3 linked regions of the Oryctolagus cuniculus genome follow. The protein of the gene in region 1 purifies or fractionates together with the protein of each later gene. This does not show direct contact. Links are inferred from orthologs where the notes say so. Each region holds a gene or a part of one and is shown in the gene's direction. Other genes may lie near its edges. The genes, in order: TDP1, LIG3 and XRCC1.

The links.
Region 2: the proteins of TDP1 (region 1) and LIG3 purify together in Homo sapiens (affinity purification with mass spectrometry; 4 studies listed by BioGRID and IntAct, with this or other methods). This does not show direct contact. The link is inferred for Oryctolagus cuniculus from reciprocal best matches to the Homo sapiens genes TDP1 and LIG3.
Region 3: the proteins of TDP1 (region 1) and XRCC1 purify together in Homo sapiens (affinity purification with mass spectrometry; 4 studies listed by BioGRID and IntAct, with this or other methods). This does not show direct contact. The link is inferred for Oryctolagus cuniculus from reciprocal best matches to the Homo sapiens genes TDP1 and XRCC1.

The regions. Positions count from the first base shown.
Region 1 is NC_091451.1:35,658,873-35,662,394, forward strand, and holds part of TDP1 (tyrosyl-DNA phosphodiesterase 1), read left to right. Parts: intron 1-69; coding exon 70-255; intron 256-1,112; coding exon 1,113-1,161; intron 1,162-3,264; coding exon 3,265-3,331; intron 3,332-3,522. UniProt on the Homo sapiens protein: DNA repair enzyme that can remove a variety of covalent adducts from DNA through hydrolysis of a 3'-phosphodiester bond, giving rise to DNA with a free 3' phosphate.
Region 2 is NC_091448.1:39,302,277-39,306,428, reverse strand, and holds the start of LIG3 (DNA ligase 3), read left to right. Parts: upstream 1-1,342; 5' UTR 1,343-2,069; coding exon 2,070-2,724; intron 2,725-4,152. Other genes in the region: CCT6B (T-complex protein 1 subunit zeta-2), read right to left, coding at 623-858. UniProt on the Homo sapiens protein: Isoform 3 functions as a heterodimer with DNA-repair protein XRCC1 in the nucleus and can correct defective DNA strand-break repair and sister chromatid exchange following treatment with ionizing radiation and alkylating agents.
Region 3 is NC_091449.1:12,328,893-12,332,892, forward strand, and holds the start of XRCC1 (DNA repair protein XRCC1), read left to right. Parts: upstream 1-1,189; 5' UTR 1,190-1,300; coding exon 1,301-1,351; intron 1,352-1,674; coding exon 1,675-1,767; intron 1,768-4,000. Other genes in the region: PINLYP (phospholipase A2 inhibitor and Ly6/PLAUR domain-containing protein), read right to left, coding at 102-171. UniProt on the Homo sapiens protein: Scaffold protein involved in DNA single-strand break repair by mediating the assembly of DNA break repair protein complexes. Negatively regulates ADP-ribosyltransferase activity of PARP1 during base-excision repair in order to prevent excessive PARP1 activity.

The DNA.
Region 1 (3,522 bases):
TTTTAGGTACTGTAGCATTTCTGTTAGATGATTTGAGTGATTGTAGCATTCACCTTTCTTCTTTCATAGCTTCTGAAAGAACACACCTCGTCCGTCCCCCAGGCCGAGTCCTGGCCCATCGTGGGCCAGTTTTCTAGCATTGGCTCCTTGGGGGCTGATGAGTCAAAGTGGCTCTGCTCGGAGTTTAAAGAGAGTTTGCTGACCCTGGGGCAGGCAAGCAGGACTGCAGGGAAAAGCACCGTTCCTCTGCATTTGGTGAGTTCCCCTCGTCCTCAGGTTAATTCATTTTTATCCCGGGAGAGGAACTGAGACTCAGTGCTGCTTGTCGTAGAGAGAGGTGCTGTGCTGCATTGTGGGGACGGGAAGAGTGGTGTGCCGGCATCACCCCTTGCGTCCAACGGTATCCGTGCTGAGAGCTGGGGGTGTGTGCAGGAACCCCATGCCAGCCACAAACCAGCCTATGATTTACCATTCTTTGGGGTTGTCAAACCAAGGAAAAACCATACTTGGCATAACATGGCCAATAGAGTTACAAGTATTGTTAACTATTTATTTAAAGACCTGGGAATTAATAATTAATTTTGCATTTAATTCAGTGCTAACTTGACCTTTCAGAAGAAGAAAAAATAACCAAAATATAATACATTTGTGCTTCCTGTAGTTTAATTACTACTAGAAGTTCAGTTTCTTCAGTAAGATGGGAACATTTAAAAATCTAAGGCTTATTTTCCAAGTTTCTAAACTAAGTATTTTTTTTATTGTTTATTCAAGAGACAGAAGAGGTCTCATCCATTGACTGAGTCCCCTGTTGCCTGTGATGGTCAGGGCCAGACTCAGGATCCCGGGGTTCATCCAGATCTCCCATGTAGGTGGCAGCAACCCAACTGCTGGAGCTGCCTCCCAGGGTGCTCATTAGCAAGAAGCTGGAATCAGTACCCAGAGCTGGGTATCAGGAAGCTAGAAGCAGTAGCCAGAGCATTCCACAGGGACATACGCATCTTAACTGTGACCTAACCGCTAGGCCAAATGCCCACCCCAGTGATTTTTCCTAAAAGCTGGTCATCATTCCTTCAACATGATACATTCCAATTTTTTTCTCTTTTTATTTTTAGATCTATCCTTCTGTGGAAAATGTGCGGACCAGCTTAGAAGGATATCCTGGTAATTATCAGGGAAGCCCTCATTTGTGCTTTTTGTGTATGTTCCATAGATGCCCTGGCAAAATTTTTAGCAGTATTGATTAGAAATGTACAGAAGGTTCCCTGGTGATAGGAGCTCTGCTGTGTTCCACAGGTGGGCAGTATGGGGTATTGTGTAACCTTCACAGCTGCTCACGCGGTACACCAGTGCTCTTCTCGTTTTCACTAATAAGGTAACCAGCAAGTTGGTGCCCAGACCAGATGTCCAAATAACATTCGTTCTCCCACTATTCAGTATCTTCAGAGCATTTCGAACTTAACCTTCCTCTTACCTCTCCTAGCATCCTCCCTGCCTGTGTCTGAGAAACTAGACAGTTCTTTCACATTTAAATTCCTGATACAGAGATGAAGTGCAAAATTAACTTCACCTTTTTAAGAAAAGATTTATTCATTTATTTGAAAGACAGAGTTAGAAAGACAGATATTTTCTATTCACTGGTTTACTCCCCAAGTGACCACAACAGCCAGGTTGAAGCTAGGAGTCTTAAACTCCATCCAAGTCTCCCTCATGGGTGGCAGGGGTCCACATACTTGGGGCATCGTCCACTGCTTTCCCAGGTACATTAGCAGGGAACTGGACTGGAAGTAAAGCAGCTGGGACTTAAACCTGTGCTCATAGGGGATGCTGGTGTCACAGACAGTGGCTTAACCTGCTGTGCCACAGTGCCAGCCCCTAAATTGACCTTTTAATTCCATTTTTCCATGAACATTTCTCAAGTTCCAGAATTTATGCATGGTATTTCCTTTGGTATAATCTGTTCATATGTCCATTATGTCAAGGTCATCATCTGCAGATGCCTAGGATTATTTTGCCAGACAACTGTGAGACCTCATCTCCATTTCCTTTGTGCCATTACTAGGCACTAAACTTCTATCTGGAATTCAGCAACACCCTGGATAGTGCAATCAGGATGTATTAACTAAAAGCCCAAATGGTGTGTGCCTTTGGAGAGAGCAGTGTTGGGCTGACGTTCACTGGTGTCTAAAAGCAGAATGCCCTGAATTAGACTATCACATTCACTTACTGCTTATCGAACTCAGTGTGCCCTGCCAGAAACATATCAGTAGTGTTTGGAATATAGGGCCCATTTGTTGCTTTTAATGGCAAATATGAAATTATCTCACTGAGACTCTGGGACGTGGTGATAGTTTTTCTTTTGTCTTCATTCTTTACCTCTAATAGCTGGATCCATTCTAAGTGTGCTTTTAATGGAAAGAATTTTGTGTTTTTCAATAAAGCTATTTTATGACTAGTTCTAAAGCTGAGAATGTTTATAGTCATTTGTGGTAGGAGATAGGACACCTGATTGGATACACTGGAGTTGCTGACGGCCCCCTCTGGGTGTAGCTCACTGTGGAGAGGTTCCAGAGCGTGTCTGGGAAATCACTGATGCATCTGCAGTGGGAGTTCTCTTCCTCTCAGAGAGGAACAGAAATTGGCTTCTAAGTACGTTTCCACTGGAACTGTCTTGATTCCCTTTGTACAAATGAGGCCTTTAAAATTCCTTTTTAAAAAACTGAGCTACTTACTCAACATTTTAACTCAGTTTCCACTCCTCGCATTCTATAAGAATCTGTTCAGCTAGTACAAAGTCTGTTTGGAAGCAGCAGTGTGTGCAGGTAAAGTCGACAGAACTGAGGTAGCACCCTGCACGGCCCAACAGGGTTGTGGTCCTAGGCAAAGAGAGGCTCCCCACTCACGTCTGTGATCTGCCTCGGGGGTATTGTGGGCCACAGTCCTACCAGTGCTCTTCCAGCAGCTCCAGTCTTTGCTGCTACAGCTGTTAAGTTACCACCATCACGTGATTTAGAAATACCCTTGTATTTTTTTGATAGTAAACATCTATTTAAATATTTATCACTCCTGAGAAAGGAAACCCCTTTAACAGTACATACCAAATGCAAATATAGACATTTTCATTCAAAGAACTATTCCATAAGATAAAATAATGGCAGTGGTGTTTTGTTTACCTTCCAACATGATGTTTATTACAGATTTTCTTCTTAGGGAGTTTTAAGTTATATTTCCTAATTTTTATCATTTTTTTTGTTTTTCTTTTAAAAGCTGGGGGCTCTCTTCCCTATAGCATCCAGACAGCTGAAAAACAGAATTGGCTGCATTCCTATTTTCAGTAAGTAATTGGTTTAGAATACTGCTGTTGCTTCTTTAGGAATATGAATGTTATTTATGTCGGTCTGGTGGTTTTTTTCATTTTTTTAAAAGAACCTTATGTAATATAGCTATATTCTTTCATCTACATATGCTAGTGGTAGAAATAATTTAAAACAAGGTTTTAAAATGTTCTTGGAATAGGTTTTTAAT
Region 2 (4,152 bases), on another chromosome or scaffold:
CACGGAAAAACGGCCTACGGGACGCGGTCTCTGCCGGCCCGCAGCTCTCCCACGTGCTCACTCCCCAACCAGCATCTTTAAGGCCCACAGGAGCCCTGGCTCCAGGGGGGAATCGGGGACCCCAGCGGTGTAACCCGGTGGGGCTCCTCACCAGCCCCCATACCACAGCCGGCGGAACCCGGCCACCACGCACGTGGCACGCGGGGGCGGGGCCCGGTTGCGTCGCTCTCTGGCCCGGGCTTTTGCGCCTGCGCGCTGCCTCCAGCTTGAGGACCCGGATTTAAAGAGACAGGCACTCCAACCGTCGTGAGCTGCTCGCGGCCTGTACGCTCCCAGTCCCGAGGCCTGCGGTGAGCGCCGGAGCCGGGGAGGCAGGTGAGGATCGGCGCAGCGCGGTGTGGAAAGCGGGCCGGGGCCCGAGCTCGGCGCGGCCCGGGAGCCAGCCCCCGGCTCCTCCCCCGCCCGCCGGCGGAGCCCGGGGGCACACCCTCCGTGACGTGGCGGCCCCCCGGGAGCCCACGGGAGGCTCGCGGCCCCCGGGACCCCCCCCCCCCCCACTACGGGCTAGAGGCGAGGGCCCCTCCTTCCACGCCTGCCCTTCAGCCCTGGGACCTCCTGAGACCTGGGCCGCTTGTGCAAGCTCCCGGCGCTGACGTGGGCGCGGGAGTTCGGCCGCCTCTGCCGCTCCCGGCCCTCGGGAGGAGCGCTCTCCGCCGCCACCCCGCGGGGCCCTGCTCCCTGCCCGCGGGGCCTGGCTCCCCGCAGCCCCTGCCCACTTCCCCAAAGCGCCGCGGCGGCTCGTCGGTTGCGGCCGGCCGTTGGGAGCGGGAGCGGGGCTGTTGTCTCTCTTGGCTGCATTGTGCCTCCTCGTGGCCTGGCGCCGCCGGAGCGCGCCTCGCCCGAGCCGTGATTCGGGGGCTGCAGGTGGCTCTGTGCGCCGACATGGTGGAGACCCAGCTGCTGCTGCGCTCCTCTCGCGGGTCTGCGCAACTTCACCCTCTGCGCTGCTTAAACTTTGGGGTGCTCGCGGGCATGTAGGTAGTCATGAAACGGAGGGACCTCGACTCCAGCACAACTCAGAGTTTGCGCAGATGGGCAGGGGTTTCGGAACCGGCGCCTGCAGCAGCCGGTCTTTGTGACTCTCCCAGCCTCCCCGGAAGCTAGGAGTTCCCTTCCCTGTTTGAGAAGTAATAAAGCCCAGAGTCAGGGGAGGTAAGAGACTGCTGAGGCGACAGCGGGCGCTCCCCTCAGGAGGTGCGGAGTAGCCGGCGGAGAAAGCCCAGCGCCGCGCTCCAGGGAGACCGCTTCCGGTGTCGTGGCATAGCCCTGCCGCGGCGCTGCGGGGAATCCGACCGCTGGAAGGTGCAGGTGCAGCGGCCGTCCGCATTCGGGCTGATCTGTCGGTCCCCGGGATTCCTGCTACGCAGTCCCTTCAGGCTTCCCCGGCGGAGGTGGCGGGTAGGGGGCCCCTGCCGTGCCGGGCAGCCGCTGTCCTGGTTCTGAGAAGAGCGGACATCGCGCCCAGCGCGGATCCGAGGGCTCTCAGCACGGGAGCTCCTTCAGTTAGGACAGTTACTGGCCGTGGTTTACAGATACGAAAACTGAGGAACTGAAAGTTTGAGTAACCCACCGAGGGCGCACAGCTAATGAGTGGCTGAGCTAGAATCTGGACCCAGGCAGGCCGCTTCTCGGCTCAGCTTCCTGCCTCTCAAAATAGAGCTTCTGATTAAAGCAAGGGTCTCTGTAGTGGCTTTGTTGTTTTCTGAGGATGGCACGTCTGTTATACGTGGCATTAAAAATCCTATGAATATAGTGTGTTTTCCTTGGTAATTAGAACACCTTGAGGATCTTACAATACTTAAAGGTCATCATCCATTAGGATTGTCGCATTTTGCTGATGGCTTGAGAAAAGCTTTTATGGTGCTTGGATTCTCCTCCTCGTGGTTTACTAGATGTGCGTATATACGTTAGGTCATTGAACACCCTTTAGGAAACTGGATTGTCCTGAATTAGAACTCTTTATTCTGTAGGTGGTGAATCTTTAATACTTGGGAAAGTGGTTAGTCAGCATGGCCTGTGTAAGACTCTGGCCTTTGACACGTTGGAAGCCTCATCCCCCATTGGTGCCCATTTATATCCGTGTGTGTGTGTGTCTCACCTTTTCATGCAGCTGCATGACTGTGGCTTTCAAGATCCTCTTCCCAGAAAGTCTCCGAGCCCTTGGCCGAAAAGAACTGTGCCTGTTCCGAGAACAGCATCGCTGGCCTGACCTCAAACTGTTTAGCCGGTGGTCGGAAACAGATGTGCTCCGTGGTCGCTGCCTCCTCCCGAGAGGAAAGCCTGTTCCATCATTTGGCGAAGGTCGTCTAAGAGCACGTGCCACCTGCCTTGTTTTCCTGCCAGGGTCGCATGTGGGACTCTGCAGTGGCCCCTGTGAGATGGCTGAGCAACGGTTCTGCGTGGACTACGCCAAGCGTGGCACAGCTGGCTGCAAAAAATGCAAGGAAAAGATTGTAAAGGGCGTTTGCCGAATTGGCAAAGTGGTGCCCAATCCCTTTTCAGAGTCCGGAGGTGATATGAAAGAGTGGTACCACATTAAATGCATGTTTGAGAAGCTGGAGCGGGCCCGGGCCACCACGAAAAAAATCGAGGACCTCACAGAGCTGGAAGGCTGGGAAGAGCTGGAAGATAATGAGAAGGAGCAGATAACCCAGCACATTACAGGTGGGATGGAGAACACTGCTTTCTGGGCTTACTGGGGCAAAGAGGAAAAGGGGTGAGAAGCCTAGAGTCCAGACTTTTTTTTTTTTTTTTTTTAAGATTGATTTATTTGGGGCCGGCGCTATGGCATAGCATAGCAGGTGAAGCCGTGGCCTGCAGGGCTGGCATCCTCTGTAAGTGCTGGCTTAAGTCCTGGCTCCTCTGCTTCCAATTCAGCTCCCTGCTAATGTGCCTGGGAAAGCAGTAGAAGATGGCCCAAGTCCTTAGGACCCTGCACCCATGTAGAGAGACCTGGATGAAGCGCCTGACTTCAGCCTGGCCCTGCCCTGGCTGTTTGGCCATTTGGGGAGAGGACCAGTGGGTGGACAATCTCTCTTGCTCCCTCTTTCTCTGCCCCCCACCTTTTTCTTTTCTTTTTAAAGATTTATCTGGGACCAGTGCTGTGGCATAGCAGGTAAAGCCACCGCCTGTGGTGCCAGCATCCATATTGGCACAGGTTTGAGTCCTGGCTGCTCTATTTCCAAACCAGCTCTCTGCTATGGCCTGGGAAAGCAGTGGAGGATAGCCCAAGTCCTTGGGCCCTTGTACCCATGTGGGAAACCTGCAAGAGGATCCTGGCTCCTGGCTTTGGATCGGCCCAGCTTTGGCCATTGTGGCCATTTGGGGAGTAAACCAGCGAATATAAGACCTCTCTCTGCCTCTGCCTCTCTGTAACACTGCCTTACAAATAAATAAATGAATCTTTTTTTAAAAAAAAGATTCCCATGTGAATGGCAGGGGCCCAAGCATTTGGGCTATCTTACTCTGCTTTCCAGGCATGTTAGCAGGGAGCTAATTGGAAGTGGAGCAGCTGGGATTCTAATTGGCACCCATATGGGATGCAGGCGGCAGCTTAACCCATTATTCCACAATGCCAGCCTCAGAATCGAGACTTTTTTTTTTTTTTTTTTTTTTTTTTTGACAGGCAGAGTGGACAGTGAGAGAGAGAGACAGAGAGAAAGGTCTTCCTTTTGCCGTTGGTTCACCCTCCAATGGCCGCCGCGGCCAGCGCGCTGCGGCCGGCGCACCACGCTGATCCGATGGCAGGAGCCAGGAGCCAGGTGCTTTTCCTGGTCTCCCATGGGGTGCAGGGCCCAAGCACCTGGACCATCCTCCACTGCACTCCCTGGCCACAGCAGAGGGCTAGCCTGGAAGAGGGGCAACCAGGACAGAATCCGGCGCCCCGACCGGGACTAGAACCCGGTGTGCCGGCGCCGCTAGGCGGAGGATTAGCCTAGTAAGCCGTGGCGCCGGCCTAGACTTTTTCTTTATTTAACTGTTTATTTGGAAATAAATTGAAACTCTCAGAAGGGTCATAAGAATAGTTATAAGTAATAAAATTGTAAGAAAGAATTACAAAGACTAGTTCTGTTCCTTTTAACCATATTTCCT
Region 3 (4,000 bases), on another chromosome or scaffold:
TCCTGTAGCCCATGCCTTCTCCATGGATGGGATCCCCCAGTATGCCTCCCGTTCCTCCCTGGAGGGCCTGGTGGAAGGAGCCCAGGTCCCTGGCCACTTACCCAGCCCCGGGAGGGTGCAGAGCAACGTGAGGGCCAGCAGGAAGTGCCCCGGTCTTGTGGACGGCCTCATGGTGTGTGAACCTGAGGTCCCGGGTCCCCTGCCCTTATAGGAAGCTGAAGAGGGGCGGATCCGGACCCACCTTCACCCTGGGGTGAGACAGCTGAGGTCAGAACCCAGGGCCGGCCTCTGCAGCCTCCAGGCTGGGGAGGCGGAGCCAAAGACCTGGACATCTTGTCCCCAGCGCCCTCCTCCGCGGGACCCAGGGACTCCAGGCTCGCAGCCCCTTCTCCCGCCAGGACCCAGTGCCCTGCCTTCTCACCTTCGCACCGCCCATAGGGGTCACTTAATTCCCCCGTGAAACTAAAGCGCTGCAAAGACTGGGTCTCCTCTCCTCTCCCCAAGGAGGCGTCCAGCGTGGGTGGGGCCCGACCTGGGGCGCGCCCGTCGTGTCCAGGCTCGTCCTGCGGGGGCCAGGCGCCCTGTCTCCCTTGTCTTCTCTCTTTCACGTGCTTGGCACACACTCCCTCTGTTGTGTTTGGTTTGTGTCCAGCTCTGACCCCGCCCAGGGCTGTGCTCCTGGGTCTCCAGGGGACCGAACAGAGAGGTGCCTGTCAGAGGCGGGCGTGGTAGGAGACAGATGCCCACGGGCCACGTGTTGGAGACATGCGTGCAAGCAGCTGTGCGTACGGTTTGGGCTCAGGCACAAGGCCGAGAGAGAGCTGAGACTGTGTGTGCGCGGCGAGGGCGGCCGCAGGAACCAGTGGAGGCGATGCCATTGCTTTAGGACCCAGGTTCCCTGCAAAAATCCACTCGGGTCCTGGGCCGTCTAAGCTTCAGGTTGGGCGCTGACGGCACCGTCCAATGAAAAGCGCGAAGGTCTTCTAGGCACCAATCCCAGAGGCCGCTCCTGTTGCTAGGCGCTCAGAAAGCCGAGCGGCTACGTCATCAGGAGGCGGAACTAGAGAGTGGTAGGGGCCCGAGAGGGGTGGGGCCCGAGGGAAAGCTCGTTGCTAGGTAACGCGGCGCAACGGTGCAACTGGGCATGCGCGGTGTCGACGCGAGCGCCCGCGCGCCGCGGTTTGAAAGGCCCGAGCTTCGCGCGCGTGCGCACTTCAGCCCGCGCAGGGAGCACCCCTTCACGCCCCCCGAACTCGGACTCGCTTCATCCCTTCGGCCAGGCTAAGCCCGCGCCGTTGACATGCCGGAGATCCGCCTCCGTCATGTCGTGTCCTGTAGCAGCCAGGACTCGGTGAGGGACTGGCGTGGGGCGGGGGAGGGGTCGCAGGGAATGGAGGGGGGAGGGGACGCTGTCAGAACTTTGGAGGGGCGAGAGGAACTTCATGGAAATCTGAAGACGGGACGTGGGGGAGGGGGGTTTTTCCAGGAGGCGGACGGTGAGCTGCGGAGAGGGGTGGGAGTGGGGCACTTGCGCGGAGGAGGGGACTTGGGGGCCTCCTTGGAGAGCCCACTCGTGGAGCTGCGGGTGCGGGAGCCTGGGGGCGCGGTGGGCGTGGGAGGGCTCGCCGCGGCCTCGTGCGGCCCCTGACCCCGCTCTCCGGCTCTCGCCTGCAGACTCACTGCGCGGAAAACCTCCTCAAAGCCGACACTTATCGGAAATGGCGGGCCGCCAAGGCGGGGGAGAAGACCATCTCCGTGGTCCTGCAGGTGACGCCGCCTCCTCCGTGCGGGCCCGCGGTTCTGCTGGGGGCCCCGGGCTGTCCGTCGGGTCCAGCCGCTCGCCCAGCGGGGCCTCAGCTTGCTTGCCTGGAAAATGGGCAGTGCGGTCCCCGGGGGCCCTTGCGGGGGCGGGGAGAGGGCGCCCACGGGAGGGGTGGTTCGACCTGAGGCGCTTGCAAGATTCCCGTGGGGGGCGAAGGGAGGGAGGGCGGCGAGGGCTGCGTGCGCTTTGGGCAGCTGCAGGCCTGTAGGGACGCTTGTCGCCGGGCGCAGGGACCGGGCCAGGCCTCGGGTTGGCAGCTTTGTGGGTGGGCTCAGCGTGCACACACTGGCGCCCTTGATCTTGAATTGCGTCCCTTGGTTCTGAATATAGTATTTGTGGAGGGGTCTCGGGGCCGGGGACAAGGCTCCCGTGAGTCTGTTGGACACGGAACGTGTTCTTGGTCTCTGTCTTGCTCGATCCTTCAGAAGAAGTTTTGGGTCACGAGATCTTGAGAATTAAAAAGCAGCTGAGGGCAGCGGCTCACTAGGCTAATCCTCCGCCTTGCGGCGCCGGCACACCGGGTTCTAATCCCGGTCGGGGCGCCGGATTCTGTCCCCGTTGCCCCTCTTCCAGGCCAGCTCTCTGCTGTGGCCCGGGAGTGCAGTGGAGGATGGCCCAAGTGCTTGGGCCCTGCACCCCATGGGAGACCAGGAGAAGCACCTGGCTCCTGACTTCGGATCAGCGCGGTGCGCCGGCCGCGGCAGCCATTGGAGGGTGAACCCACGGAAAAGGAAGACCTTTCTCTCTGTCTCTCTCTCTCACTGTCCACTCTGCCTGTCAAAAAAAAAAAAAAAAATATATATATATATATATATATATATGGCAGCTGAGGGCACACCTATCGGATTTTCTGACTGATTTTGGAAGTTTAAGCATCCCCTAAGTCCCTCCTCTAAGAAAAGCGATGAGAGCTAGCATCACTCAGGGCTACAACCTGCCAGTCCCTGCTCTGTGCCCATCACGTGGGTTAGCTCGTTGCATAAGAAGTCCCAGGACCTAGGGTCTGTTATTGTCCCCAATTCACAGGTGTGGAAACGGAGGCCCAGGGAAGTCATGCAGCTGGCCCGAGAACTGCGGGAGATCCGGGCTGCTGACGGTGCAGCGTGGGGCCCGGGCTCGGCTCCGCAGCGCTCCCTCTTACGCATGCACGCTGTGGCCTCGGGCAGCAGCCGCCATCCTGGAGCCTGTTTTCTCATGTGTGCGCCCGGATAATGGCATGCGAGCCGAGCATTGTTGTGGCAGTTGGTGACATAACGTCTGCGGACCTGCTCTGTCAACACGTGGCTGTTTGTGTAAGGGGAGGGAGTCCTGTTCTTGTTATTGGGCTGTTCACTTGTTCACATCGGAGACCTTCGGAAAAACCTGGTCACGTCTGGCGTTGGCCAGCCCCTGGGGTGACTCTGAGTTCACCACGGGCTGGCTTTGGTCCTCCCCTAGAGACTGATAAGCCACCACAGGAGACTCCGCTGTGGGTTTTCTGCTCCCCCGTCCTTTTCTCCTCCAAACCGTGTTGTGCAACACCTGGATGTTGCAATCCGGGCCGCCGCCCTCCGCTCGTGACGGTCCCACACACCTTGTTTGTGGCAGCCACAGGAGAGCTGTGTTGCCAACCCCTCACCTGCTCCCAGGCAGGGACTTCCAACCTCTTTGTCAGCCACTCCTGGCCCGGTGGGACTGGCTGGGGCACCGTCCGGAGGCGACTCCTGTGTATCACTGGACATGTGTTCTTTGGAAGAAACATTTGACAGCGAGGTGGCACACGGCTCTTTTTTGATTTTGCTGTTTTATTTTTCTGGGAGGCTGGCGTCGTGGCTACAATGCCAGCATCGCATGTGGGCACTGCTTTGAGTCTTGGTTGCTCCACCTCCCATCCAGCTACCTGCTGTGGCCTGGGAAAGCAGTGGAAGATGGCCCAGGTCCTTGGGCCCCTGCACCCACATGGGAGACCTGGAAGAAGCTCCTGGCTCCTGGCTTCAAATCAGCTCAGCTCCAGCCACTGTGACCAATTGGGGAGTGAACCAGGGAATGGAAGCTCGCTCTCTCTCTTTCTCTCTCTTTCTCTCTTTCTTCCTCCCTTTCTCTCTCTCTGTCTCTCCCCCTCCCTCCCTCCCTCCCTCCCTCTTTCTTGCTGTGCTGGTGTTGTGGCTGCAATGCCAGCATCCCATATAGGCACTTGTT